2 linked regions of the Cricetulus griseus genome follow. The protein of the gene in region 2 interacts with the protein of the main gene of each other region in a pairwise test. Links are inferred from orthologs where the notes say so. Each region holds a gene or a part of one and is shown on either strand. Other genes may lie near its edges.

What was found.
Region 1: the proteins of rap guanine nucleotide exchange factor 4 (region 2) and Swap70 interact in a two-hybrid assay, tested with the Homo sapiens proteins (2 studies listed by BioGRID and IntAct). The link is inferred for Cricetulus griseus from reciprocal best matches to the Homo sapiens genes RAPGEF4 and SWAP70.

The regions. Positions count from the first base shown.
Region 1 is NC_048596.1:90,428,303-90,434,947, forward strand, and holds the end of Swap70 (switch-associated protein 70), read right to left. Parts: intron 5,542-6,645; coding exon 5,343-5,541; intron 4,256-5,342; coding exon 4,159-4,255; intron 3,633-4,158; coding exon 3,526-3,632; 3' UTR 1,475-3,525; downstream 1-1,474.
Region 2 is NC_048599.1:102,904,691-102,910,754, forward strand, and holds the end of rap guanine nucleotide exchange factor 4, read right to left. Parts: intron 3,346-6,064; coding exon 3,218-3,345; 3' UTR 2,117-3,217; downstream 1-2,116.

The DNA of each region.
Region 1 (6,645 bases), on a different chromosome or scaffold from region 2:
GGGACTTCAAATGGGGAAGCAGCATCAGACAGAAGAGGGCAGCTGGACAGAACCCTCCATTTCCCACTCCTACAATCTCCCTGGCCCTCTCAACTGCCATGGAGGAGGCAAAGAGAAAGGCCGTCGTTCCTGTAGATGACGACCAGGGGCTGCACTGGTGTGGTAGAAACTGGGAAGGGAGGCAGAGTCTGGGCTACGGTTGGAATTCAGTGTCCACCACAAATGTGCCCACTACCCAAGACCAATGACTCAGAAACCTCAGAAGGGTCAATGAGGCTCAATAGGAACTAACAACACTCCCCTCCAAGCTGGGGTGATGCAAGGCACCCACAGAAGCCAGCACATTCCTTCCAGTTATGAAAACCACAAATGTCTCCAGACACTGCCAAATGTCCCCCCAGGAACAAGTGCCCCTCCTTGAGGACTGCTGCAGTAAAGAAAGACAGTTTTACAAACACCCACTCCCCTCCCTCCTCCGTAAGAGGAAAACCAGTTGGCCAATACACAGTCAAGCTAAGCAAAAGCCTTCTTCATCTACAGTCAGAGTTTCAATCTTGGGGACCAGGTAAACCCAAATAGAAAACTACACCGTTTATTCTAGTGAAAGAAAAACTCAAAGACATAAAGAAAATTTGAGAAAACAGTCAAGAGTAAAAGGCTCAGGGGTAACGGCAACAATGAAGAGAGGTCAGCTCTGGAGGTTCTTGAGCTGACACATCCGCCAAGTTCCCCACATTTGTGACTCAAACACCAAACATGAGGTCACAGCTGACTACTTGAGGTCTTGACTCCCAAAGCCAGTGTTTTCAGGAGTGTCCCTAAACCACATCCACAGGATTGTATGAAAATGAAATTAGGAAACACCCACACACTTTACCATTTATATTTTTTATTTTATTCATTTATTTTTTACATTCCAATCCTAGTTCCCCCTCTCTCCTCTCCTCCCAATCCCCCACTCCCCTCTCCCATCTGCTCCACGGAGAGGGTAAGGCCTCCCATAGGAAGTCTACTAAGTCTATCCCATCATCTCGTTGAGGCAGGACCAAGGCACCTCTCCACCCCTCACCCCTGTGTCTAGGCTGGGCACGGTATCTCTCCATATAGCATGGGCTCCACTAAGTCAGTTTGTGCATTAGTGTTAGGTGTTGGATCCACTGCCAATGGCTTCATATATTGTCCCAGTCACCCCATTTGTATATTTTGGAGATCAGCCCTCTGTCAGGTGTGGGGTTGGTGAAGATCTTCTCCCATTCTGTAGGGACCCATTTTGTCTTCTTGACTATGTTCTTTGCTTTACAGAGGCTTCTCAGTTTCTCTCTCTTTTCTCCTCCCCCCCCCCTCTCTCTCTCTCACACACACACACACACACACACACACACTTTACCATTTTATTAAACCAGTTTTAAAATGTATAAAATTCTGGTATGTTTAATTTTCTTATTGAGTTCACTGTACTAAAAACAAAACAAAATCCCATAAAAACATTTTAATATCTTAGAAAATTAGCAAAAAAATTAAGAAAGTTGAGCATATTACATTGTACAATGTTTAGATAAAAATGCTTAAAATTATAAATATTTTGTTCCTTCTCAATACAGGCAGATTCCAAAACAGATTTCAAAATGTTTTTCATTCACAATTCCTGCAGATAATCTTATCTCTAACAGTAGGAAGGGCTGATTACAGTGCCTACAGACAGGCACTCCTGAAGTTTCCTGTAGCTATTACAGAGGTGAGGCAAGGGGTCGACAGGCACTTAGCTGAAGCCACAGCAAGGATCAGGAGAGATCCATGAGCATCAAAGCATCTGACCAAAAGGGAGTCGCAGAGTCCACATCTGTGCTGTCTTCTTTATCCACGCCCCAGCCACAGTGCTGCTGCAGCCAGTGTCTACAGATTGCAGACACCTCTGCACAGCCCATACAGTACTGCACGAGCAGGATGCAGGCCGAATTCAGGCTTGCACCCAGGCCAGACAATGAGGGCCATAGCAGGCGCTGCTTCTGGCTGTGTTCAAAGAAAGTCAGGCTTAAGGAGGAATGAATGGTCTGCCAGCCAGGACATGGCAGTCCCTTCACCCCAGTCTCCCCTGGACTCCCAGGTCTTCAGCTTCCATCCAGACATTTCACACCAGTCAGAACTTTCTTGCGGTTTCTTTTCCTCATTCTCTCCAGGGTCACTGAAGTCCCCTAGGAGACATCATTAAGCCACTGGGGAGGCCCTGGCCCCCTCATCTGATAGCCCAGCAGCAACGAAAAGAAAACACTGGTGGGTGAGGTGAATGAATGGCCAGGCAGAAACCCACACCCAGGTTAGCTTAAGGTTCACGATACAGTGATATTCTGCATACAAATCTAAACTCTATGAAAGCAACTATAAACATTAAATAAAATTACAGTTAAGCAGCCCAAAATCTTAAGAAAAATTTATGAGACTTCCATTGGCAAATGTTTTCCAGTCATAAAAGGTAGAGATTTATGGAATTCTATCCAGTCCTTATGTAAATACCAGGAACACTGAAATCTATCTCTAGACTTGCACATGTCTGGAATGGCCTCCTCTCTGCCCCAAGGCAAGGAAAGGCAAGGACCAGGACACTCGGGGTCCTCTGCTCTGTTACTGAATTTCACCTTTTCTGTAACTTGGAAATCACCCTTCTGTTTACAATGTAAAGCACTGTGGCTGTCCATGGAGTCACTGAGCTTATAGATTCCAACTAGCATGGGAAAGCTTACTTTTACTATTCTCAATCCCAGAAAATCTTCCTCAAAAAAAAAAAAAACAAAAAATAAAAAACAAAAACATAGGAACCATGACCTGGTCACCCATGGAAGTGGGAAAAGCAGAGACACAATCCTAGTGAAAGCCACAATCCCAGCTTGGCTAAAGGAAGGGCTTGCCCTCATCCTGTGACACTTTACATCTAACCAGCCCACGTACTGTCAGCTTCCCACTGTCCACATTTAACCTCCTAAACTAGCCAATCACCACTGATTTCAAGTTAGCCCCTCTAATATCAATAACTTCCACTCGTGGACGGGGGCTGGGGACAGAATGTCCAGGGAACTGGGTAGAGACACTGGGTCAAGATACGTTTTGCTATGAAATGAGGGGAAAGGAAATGCAAATGAAGCATGCCAAGTGCATGATGCCCAGGTCCATCACAGCACCAACAATGAAGGCTTGCCGTGTCACCTGACAGGGAAAGGCAAACAGACCATCGGAGGAGACACACTGCCTTAGGAGGCAGCAGACGTCCTATGCAGAGAAGGGCTGACATCAGCGGCTGCAGGGCTGCAGAAGGTGACAGTGAAGGTGGCCCCAGCCACACCTGTGCCTATGTTCTCACCCAGGAAAGCTCAGACAGCTCTAGAAGGTAAATACAGTGTCCTCAACATGTGGACCCCGCTGGAGCCCTGAGGAAAGATGGTTAGAAGCAGCAAAGCCAGTGTCCTTGTCCTGGGCATGGAGCTCGGCTCCTCACTGATGTGACTGTGCCTGGGGTGGCCACTGGGAGAGCTGTCACTCCGTGGTCTTCTTCTCTTTCCAGCTCTTCTCTCTCTCCTCGAGCTCTGCCTGGGTGAATGCTGCGGGTCCCCAGTTGGTGATCAAGTGAGGATTCTTTGAACCTAAGCAACAAGCATGCCTTCAATGCAGGTACACCCTCCACCCCTGTCATCACTCCAGGGACAAAACAACTTTTCTACTTGTTTACTCTGTCTCTGAGGAATGCCCAAAAGGCTTACCAGCCAAAAGAGCTGCAAGATACATGCAGGAAGGTCACCTGGGGCCACTGACTACAGAGGACAAGCTGTTCAAGAGAGACTCACAGGAAGCAGCTGGCCTTCATGGTGACTCTCGGCCCCTGTAGGGCCCCTGGGATTACAAATGTCCATGTCCCCCATCCAGGTTTTGATGAGGGTTCCGAGGACCTGAACTCAGGTGGCCAGGCCTGCAGAGCAAGTGCTTCACCCTGAGCCATCTCAAGGGTGACCCTGCACTTCACATCCAAGAGCTAGGTCACAGGTACCAGTTTATGTGGTGCTGTGCATAGAACCAAGGGCTCTGTGCCCCTAAGACAGTTGTTTTTAATACAACTCAATCACATAAATATAACAGAAAGTAAGTTAAAATAGATCATAGTTATATTATTACCTGGTTCTATCAATCGTATTAATCCCTCATGATGGGCCACTTTGTCCTTCCAGCTCTTCGTCATATTAGTTGCCATCTCTAGCTTCTTTTTAACTCCCTAGAACAAAAGTGGCAGTTTAAGAACCAAGTAGCGTGGACTGGCACCTACTGTACACCTGTGGATTCCATCGTTAAATGATCAGAATTACTCTAGGGGGAGGAGCTACCATTACCACTATTGCACATTAGCAAAAACTCAGGCAGAGAGCTACGCCATCTGCCCACGGTCACATGCAGGAAGCAGGGCTGGGAGCCAAGCCACCTGATTCCAAGGCTCTTCTCACCTCATGCATGTGATGCTAGGACCCTACTGTCAGCTTACTGCCTCTCTGCTCCAGGCCTGCCCTTCCCCAACCTGTCTTGTTGCTGTATTAATTCTCTCACTATAGGGGCAGCCCCAGCTTCAACAATAACAGGTTCTGAAGGACATGGGGAGGAAGGGGCTCTTCTTTCTGCTGGCACTCACTCAGGACAGCCATAGTCATAGTGGCTTGAATGAGAATGGTTCCCATAGACTCAGATGTTTGAATGTTTGGTCCCAAGTCGGTGGAGCTATTTGGGGAAGGATTAGGGCAGTGACCTTGATGGAGGAAGTGTGTCACTGGGAGTGGGCTCTGAGGTTTCAAAATGACTCATGCCAGCCATTGCAGTGCTTTCAGATCAAGATATGAGCTCTCAGCTTCTCCTGTCTCCATGCCTTCATTCTCCCATCATGGGCGCTAACCACTGAAACCCTAAGTCCAACTGAACACTTTCTTTTGTAAGCTGCCCTTCCAATGAGGTGTGGCCTCCCCTGGGTGCTCTACCTCAGGGTAGGGCAATGGCTGCTGCCTACACCCGTCATCCCCATGGTTCTCAGAGTTTGTTCTACAGCTTGGCGGGGACTTCTCTGTCACAGTTTATAACTGTGTAAACTTTCCCACTCACGCTCCTCTGTGGTCCCTGAGTTGACAGACACCTCCATCCTCTGGGGGGAAAAAAGTTTCCTATTCCTTCTCTATGCTAAGACTCTGCTAAGTGAACGCTGGAGTTTTATTGTTTGTGTGCAAGTTTCTGCAGAGTGGATGCAGCGCCCCACCCCTACCCTAGCTGATCAGGGTTTCTAAGGAGTCAGTTACAGGTGTGTGCAGGGTAAGTCCAGCCACCTCATACTGCTCCAGCGCCTGTTTCCGCTCGAGCTCCAGCTGTTCCAGCTGTGCCATGGCCTCCTGCAGAGCCTGCTCCTTCATGACACGCTGCTGCTCCAGTTCCTGCTTCTCCGCCTCTGTCGTCTGGATAGCCTGCTGCTGTGCCAGGTGCCACTTTTCCAATTCCGCCCTCTTAGAAGACTCTTCCTCCAACAACCTGTAATGCAGAGAAGTCTCGGGGTCATGTGCTGCTGTGGACCCCCAACCCAGATGGGAAAGCATTTCAGAGTACATTTTCTCAGTCATGTAATGCTACCCCCACCCCATTTTATAAGGAGACTGGAAGCCAAAGGAATCCATCACAGTTAGGGAGCAGCCCACACATCCTGCTCTAAGTGTCCTTAGTCTTACCCCTCTGTGAAGGAAAAAGAAATTACCATTTAGGCAATGCTGAGTGTGTGCCAGGAACTGAGACAAGTGTGTTTTCCCCACTGTTTCACACAGTGCACATAAGTGCCATTAGCAGTCACACTTGAGATGTCGAAGTGGGGTCTTAAGCCATCTACCTGCCAGGTAATGGGGCCAAGCTGTGCAACTTGCCTGGTTGCTACAATGTTAAAACATTTCTTCATCTACTAAAGACCCATTACCAACAATCCAGGAGATCGAGCCCCGCCTCACAGATGAAGCAATGTATCTGCAAGTGCGTCGCACAGGTCACAATGGACTCGAACATGGATGTGTGACGCCAATGTGTTAGCTGTAATAACAGCCTGGCTTGGATTAGCCAACTGCATTTCAATAAATAAACCAACACACAGCCCAAACCTGAATTCAAGATGCAGATAGTGTGCAATGGTCAGAACACAAGTCTAATAAGGAGCCACACAGAGTCAAGTCATATGGCAGCCACTGCCACCTGCAGCATCTGCTCTCTACAGCAGCAGCAAGGGAAGAGGCAAGGACCACACCGTCCCTTCTAGACTCAGAATCTCCCTGGAGACACATTCGGGCTCCTCAGAAATCTGGAATACAGCATCCACCATGGAGCCCAGCACAGCAGACAGCCTGACATGCACTCTGAGTCCACAGCTGTTCAGTATTGCACCTGTGACGTGTTCCTTAGGGATAACCAGTGAAGGAGGCCGAAAGAGCCTCTGTGTTTTCACTTTGGTGCTGACCTACAGAGAGAGAGTAGGCTTTCTGGGGGCTCGGCTGCCTTCATGCAGCTGGAGAATCAGCACAGTAGGGTCCTCGTGGGAGGTGGACCACCATCTCCTAGGATAGATGCCACCACCCAGAACATGCCCTTGGCAGCACA
Region 2 (6,064 bases):
TTAATTTTTAATAATGTTGGGAGTAAATTAAAATGAGGTTATACTGTGTCAGTCACTGTGGAATTGGGGAATGGAGTTGGTGAGTTTTTAAGAAATGCAGAAAGGAAGAAGGATAAGGTTAAAGCAATGAAGAATGGACAGTCGGCCTTATTAATGATTTTTAAAAATTATTTAGAAGTCTGTAACAGTGAAAACTCTGCAGCTGATTGAGGCCTGTGACACAGTGAAACACTGAATAATCATGATTATAAGAAAATCTATTCTGTGACTTAAAAAATCATTACTGTGTAGTAAATCCAATTTCATGTGTGTACTTCTGGGCAGAAGTCAATATTGCATGAAATAACACTGCTATTCTTTAGAGCACTGAAATATTATATAAAGAAACACAGAAAACCATTTACCTCTTTTAGTATTTGGCAAGGTGGGTTTTAATTGTGGGGTGTTACATAAATTTTAATAGGACTTCTCAGAGCCATAATGTATTAATGAGAATCAGGACTTATTTGTAAGAAATAGATATACTATGCAGTGGCCTCCAAACTGGTTTGAAGATAGTATCTTCATTTTCTTGTCTTCATGGTTGTATTTCTGTCTATGGAAAAATAATGTGAACTTGTAAGACTAGTACAGCCTGGAACACAGTATGAAAAAAAAATAGACTTTCTTAAAAAAAAAAAGTAGGTAGATCCCTAACAGAAAGAATTTAGATACCTCCATTTTCAACATTTACTAAAAGCTTCACACTGAGAAATATTATGAGGCCCCAGAGCCTCTTCACCTCACCAGCATTTCTGATGGCCAAGGGTGATGAAAGATTGAAAATATGGCTTATCCATGGAACACATATTGATCAACCATATAAAGGAATGAACTACTGATACAAGGCATAATGTGGGAGAACCACGAAGACATTATGCTAAATGAAAGGAGCCAGACACCAAAGGCTTGTATTACATGATCCCAATTATAGGAGGTTCAGAGCAGTCTCCTATCGACAGAAAGTAGATTAGGGTTGCCTGGGGTTGGAAGGAGAATGAGAGATGAATGTTAATGACTGTCCCCTCCACTAGGTGACAATCTGATGTCAGACAGTGACAATGGTTTTACAACATCATGAATATAATATAACTCACTAGATTACTCACTAGTGGGTGAATTTTAGTATTAGTATATTAATTTGTTTCAATTAAAAAACAACATAATAGATGATAACAAGAATGGAGATACCCTAATAGAGGGAGATATTTTTGGTTTACAGAGAAATCAGGCACTAGGGAAATGTCTGGAGATCTACAAAGATGACACCAGCTAACAATCTAAACAACAGAGGAGAGGCTACCTTAAATGCCCTCCCCTGATAATGAGATTGATGACTGACTTATATGCCACCTGATAGCCCTCATCCAGCAGCTGGTGGAAGTAGTAGCAGACACCCACAACTAATCACCGAACTGAACTGGAACCCAGATGCAGAGGATGAGTGAAGAGCACAGGAGTCCAGACGAGGCTGGTGAAACCCACAGGAACAGCTGACCTGAACATCGGGGAACTCTTGCTCCCCAGACTGATAGCTGGGATACCAGCATGGGACTGTTCCAGACCCCAGGAACATGGGTTTCTATGAGGAAACCTCGGAAATCTACGGGACCTCCTGTAGAAGTTCAGTACTTATCCCTAGCATAGGTGTGGACTTTGGGAGCCCATTCCACATAGAGGAATACTCCCTGAGCCAAGACACACGGGGGTGGGCCTAGGCCCTATCCCAAAGGATATGATAGACTCTGATGACACCCTATGGAAGGCCTCACCATCCAGGGGGAGCAGAAAGGATATGTGATAGGTAGGGTTTTAGTTGGGGGTGGGTAGGGGAGGACAGGTGGGAGAAGGGAACTGGGATTGTCATGTAAAACAATCCTGTTTCTAATTCAAATAAAAAAAAGTCAAAAAAAAAAAAAACAACAAAAACAAATTCAGGTTGGGTGTGTGCTTAGCATGCATGAGGCCCTGGGTTCAGTCTTCAGCACACACACACAAATAAATAAATGAAAAAACCCAGCACTCACCATACTGGAAGGTAAGACTTTTTGCATCAAAGAAACTGACAACACAACTATTTCTTGTCAAGTATATTTAATGAAGATACTGGCTGTTATTTACAGAAGAGATATGTACATACAATTCCTACACATTAGATGTAGTCTAATTGTGAAAAAAGAAAAAAAAATGTACTCCAAAATTTCATACTGAATAAAATAAATAAAAAGGAATATTTGGCACAATGTCTATAATGTAGCAAATAAATAACTCTATACCATTGATCGCATGACCTATTTACAATCTATCTGAAAGTGCAAAACAATTGCTGAAAATTAAGACTTTTGTAATAACATTTAAGTCCAGAAAATATGAGTTTTTTCATCAGTATCAATAAATTTGTAGAGGAAAGGTTTTTAATGCCCAGGAAAATATTTCAATTTTGAAAAACGTTTTGTGCATATTGTGCTCTTCTGAAATGTTATTTTCTATCTTAACGCTGGCAATATTAAGAACCTTAGTGTTTCTTAGCAGAATTCTTGCATATGTAATCCTGATTTGTAAATTTTAAAAGTTACAATGTAAACATATTATTCTATAGATCATTCAGAAATTACAGACCAAATAGCCATAATGTTTCATAGTATTGTGGTGAGGTGCTACTCCTTTCGAGGTAAGACTATGAAGATGGAGGAATATGACCTATAATTTGGACTTTTATGGTTTCCTCCACACCCTCCCCAGACCCCATGCCCCAAATCAAGGTGCTAAGTAAAACCAAAAAAACATTCCATTATATCATCACCAATGTATCTAAGTCAAACCCACTCATGGCACAGTCTCATCCTGCAAACAGCCTGGAAAGGGATGTCAGGGGCTTGATGTAGGCCTCACCAATGTTATTTCTTCATGTGAGCCTGTGATGGCATGGCTGGAAATGAAGGAGGGTGGCTATAACAGATGACTCCTAAACTACAACATGTCAGCATCATACAAGGCAAATCACTTCCTCTCTCTTGGTATGGTTGGATAGTTGGATGTGGCCCTGAGACGGGGGAGGGGTCTCAGTATGTGTCTCTGTTCATTCTCAAGAATTCTCTAGTGGCAACACAGTCAGTAGTAGCATACACGGCAATTTTTTTTTTTTTGAAAGATTGTGGACTGGAGACAAAACATCACTCTATGGCCTGCGAGGCTCTAATCTGTGTGACATCTGTGATAAAGTTCTCTGGTTGTCAATCACATTTAATTGCCGTACATAACTCCGGACATCCTGATGGTTCTTATTAGCTTGAGCGGCATCGGGATCTGTTAAAAGAATAGCAGGCAGGGTTGGCGTTGCACAATATCTGCATGGAAGATGCAGCTTTATTTTCCCCACTGACTTATCACATTTATCATAGATTCCCTGGGCTCTGCCAAGACCTTTCCACACACCACATTCACTGAAATATTTCTACTTGGTTGGTCCATCTGCTGCCTTCTACCCTCCGATTTTCTTTTCTTCCCTGGAATCATCTCTTTTGATCATTTTTCTTTGGATTGCACGCTGAAAAAAAAAAAGGGCACCAAATAAAAAGGGAAGCATCTGTCTGATGGCCCTGGTGACAGATGAAAATTGTTTTCCCTTCCTGGCCCACCTCTGTGTCACACTCTGTCTCCACCTCCTTTGATCCAGATGAGGACTAGTGTCAAAGATATAGTTTCATTAGCAACTCACAAAAGCACTTAACACCTGGACTGAACTGAAGGGAGCCAATGGGCATAGGGCCCCATAGCCCCCCTTTGCTTACAGCACCATTTTAACTGTATGCCCGCCCCTAAGCACAGTCTGGATTAGGCAAAGCTACCTTCTGGCTGATGACTTCTAGTAAACTTTTCTTCTCTGACACAACTTGCTCTGAAAGTCTGCTGACCATTCTATTTTGATCTATTGATGTGAGTACCTGGGCTGTCAAAAACGTAAATGGATTTTATTCAAACCAGGATTCCAAAAAAATCTATGTCCATAGTCGAAATACATAGTATATATAAGAATGAGGAAGGCCAGATTCAACAGCAGAATGGAAAACTGGAAACACAGTGCCTTGGGAAGTGGCCACCTAGCTCCTGAATGCCATCACCACGTAGGAATCTGTGTCCAGAATAGCCAGGTCCTCCCTTCATTTCCTTCCTACCTTTTTCCCTTCTTTCCTTTTGAAACAAGGAATCTGAATTTCTCCCCTGTAAATTTCCCTAGATTTTAAATGGCGACTCCTCCATATGAAGGAGGGCAGTCTGTTTATGGTGCAGCCCACGGGTCACGGACTGTCCTGGGGGAACCACTCTTTCCTCTAGTTTACACTGGAGGGCCAAACTGGACTCTGTTCAGAGTTCCCTCTTCTCGCCCCCAGAGCTGCCTTCTGAAGTCCGGTTGCTCCCCTTAGATCCACCCACTGTTCCACCAGACAATCAGAACGCCATCTGCATCCAGGGCTGGAGGGGAGTGAAGCAGGTCTGAGCACAGAAGGCAGAGACAAGCTACAAAGGCCCCTGCTCGCCGTAAGAAGAAACTCATCAGTATAATTATCACATATAAATAATACCACAGTGAACTACGGAACACATTGTGCTTAATTTCCCCCCGCATCCCACTGGCAGTGTACTCTGCATGTACAATATACTGTAATTACATTGTATACATCCCCACAATGTTTATGAATCTATTCCTATAGCTTTATCTATAGATTGTTGACTTCAGAGCCGAGCAGCTGTTGTTTACCAGCAGTTGCTGATAAGTTCAACAATGCACTGCAAGTTAAAAAAAAAAAAAAAAAAATCCCCTCACTTCTCTCAAAGATAGCGAAGAACGAAGAAAGGAGACTTTCCTGCCAAAGAAGCTGTGAAACAAAGCTGATCCTACTATGGCTCCTGTTTGGTTCTGGAACAACAGCCCCTCCCATCCTACCCGAACCGTTCCCAAGGCTCTGAGCCCTCTCCAGCACACAGGACTTTGCATGTAATTTGAGAATGTTTGGGAACCCTCTGAAGGGACATGGGTTCTGGATTGTAAAGCCTGTCGTGACTGGTACTGTTTCTCCTTGTTTTCAGCCAATTTGTGGCCATGTCTTTTACATACATAGTAAATTACTATAGGAAAGGATGTGAGATGCTTGAATTCTGGCAGAATCCATGTAGGAAGGGTTGGAAACATACAAGACTGCTCTCATTTTTAGAAACGAGAGGGCACCGTTGTTTGAATTAAATTTTTAAAAGCTCTTCTCACCCCCTAAGTCAAGATTATTTTCTCTAATTGTTTTTTTTTTTCCTCCTGAACATTAAGAAAAAAAAAAGAAGAGTGAGTAGTTCTGGCATTCTATGTTAGCAAGCTCTGGCTTTGGGCCAGATCGACACTACAAAGAGCATACCACTGTGATTATTAAAACAAGAACCTGTCAGTCTCTTCAGACAGGATCTACTGGAGAGGACGGTGAGGTAGGCTGCTGTCACATCTGTGTCATCTCATCGAGGTGAGTGAATATGCCAATCCTCTCACATGACTCACATAATGACATTAGCACAAAACTTCAAAGGGTTCACTGCTCTCTCCCAAACCAGACCAAAGGAGCAAAGCTCTAGTCCTTATCCTGAGTCCTAGGCCAGAAGAGACAGCAGCACCGATGTAACGTGGCCAGCTGGTATGACAAGGAAACTTGACAGTTTAAAATGGCCATTTGTTAGTAGTAATATTTTAGACCTATGAAAACATAGCACTGGTGTTTATGACATAGGTTCAACATTTGAAAGAGTACCTGGGAATACTAGAAACGTTATGCAGAATCCTGCCAGGGGACATTTGCAAATGTGTTATAAATATGAGTGCATTTTCGAGGGACAATAAATATTTTCTTTATCGGTTTATAAACGATGGCACTGACTCACCAAGGGTTGCTTAGTTTCTTGGCATTAGCACTGAGTCACACCAAGGGTGGCATGGAGCCTGGTGTTGGTGGCGCACACCTTTATCCCAGCACTTGGGAGGCAGAGG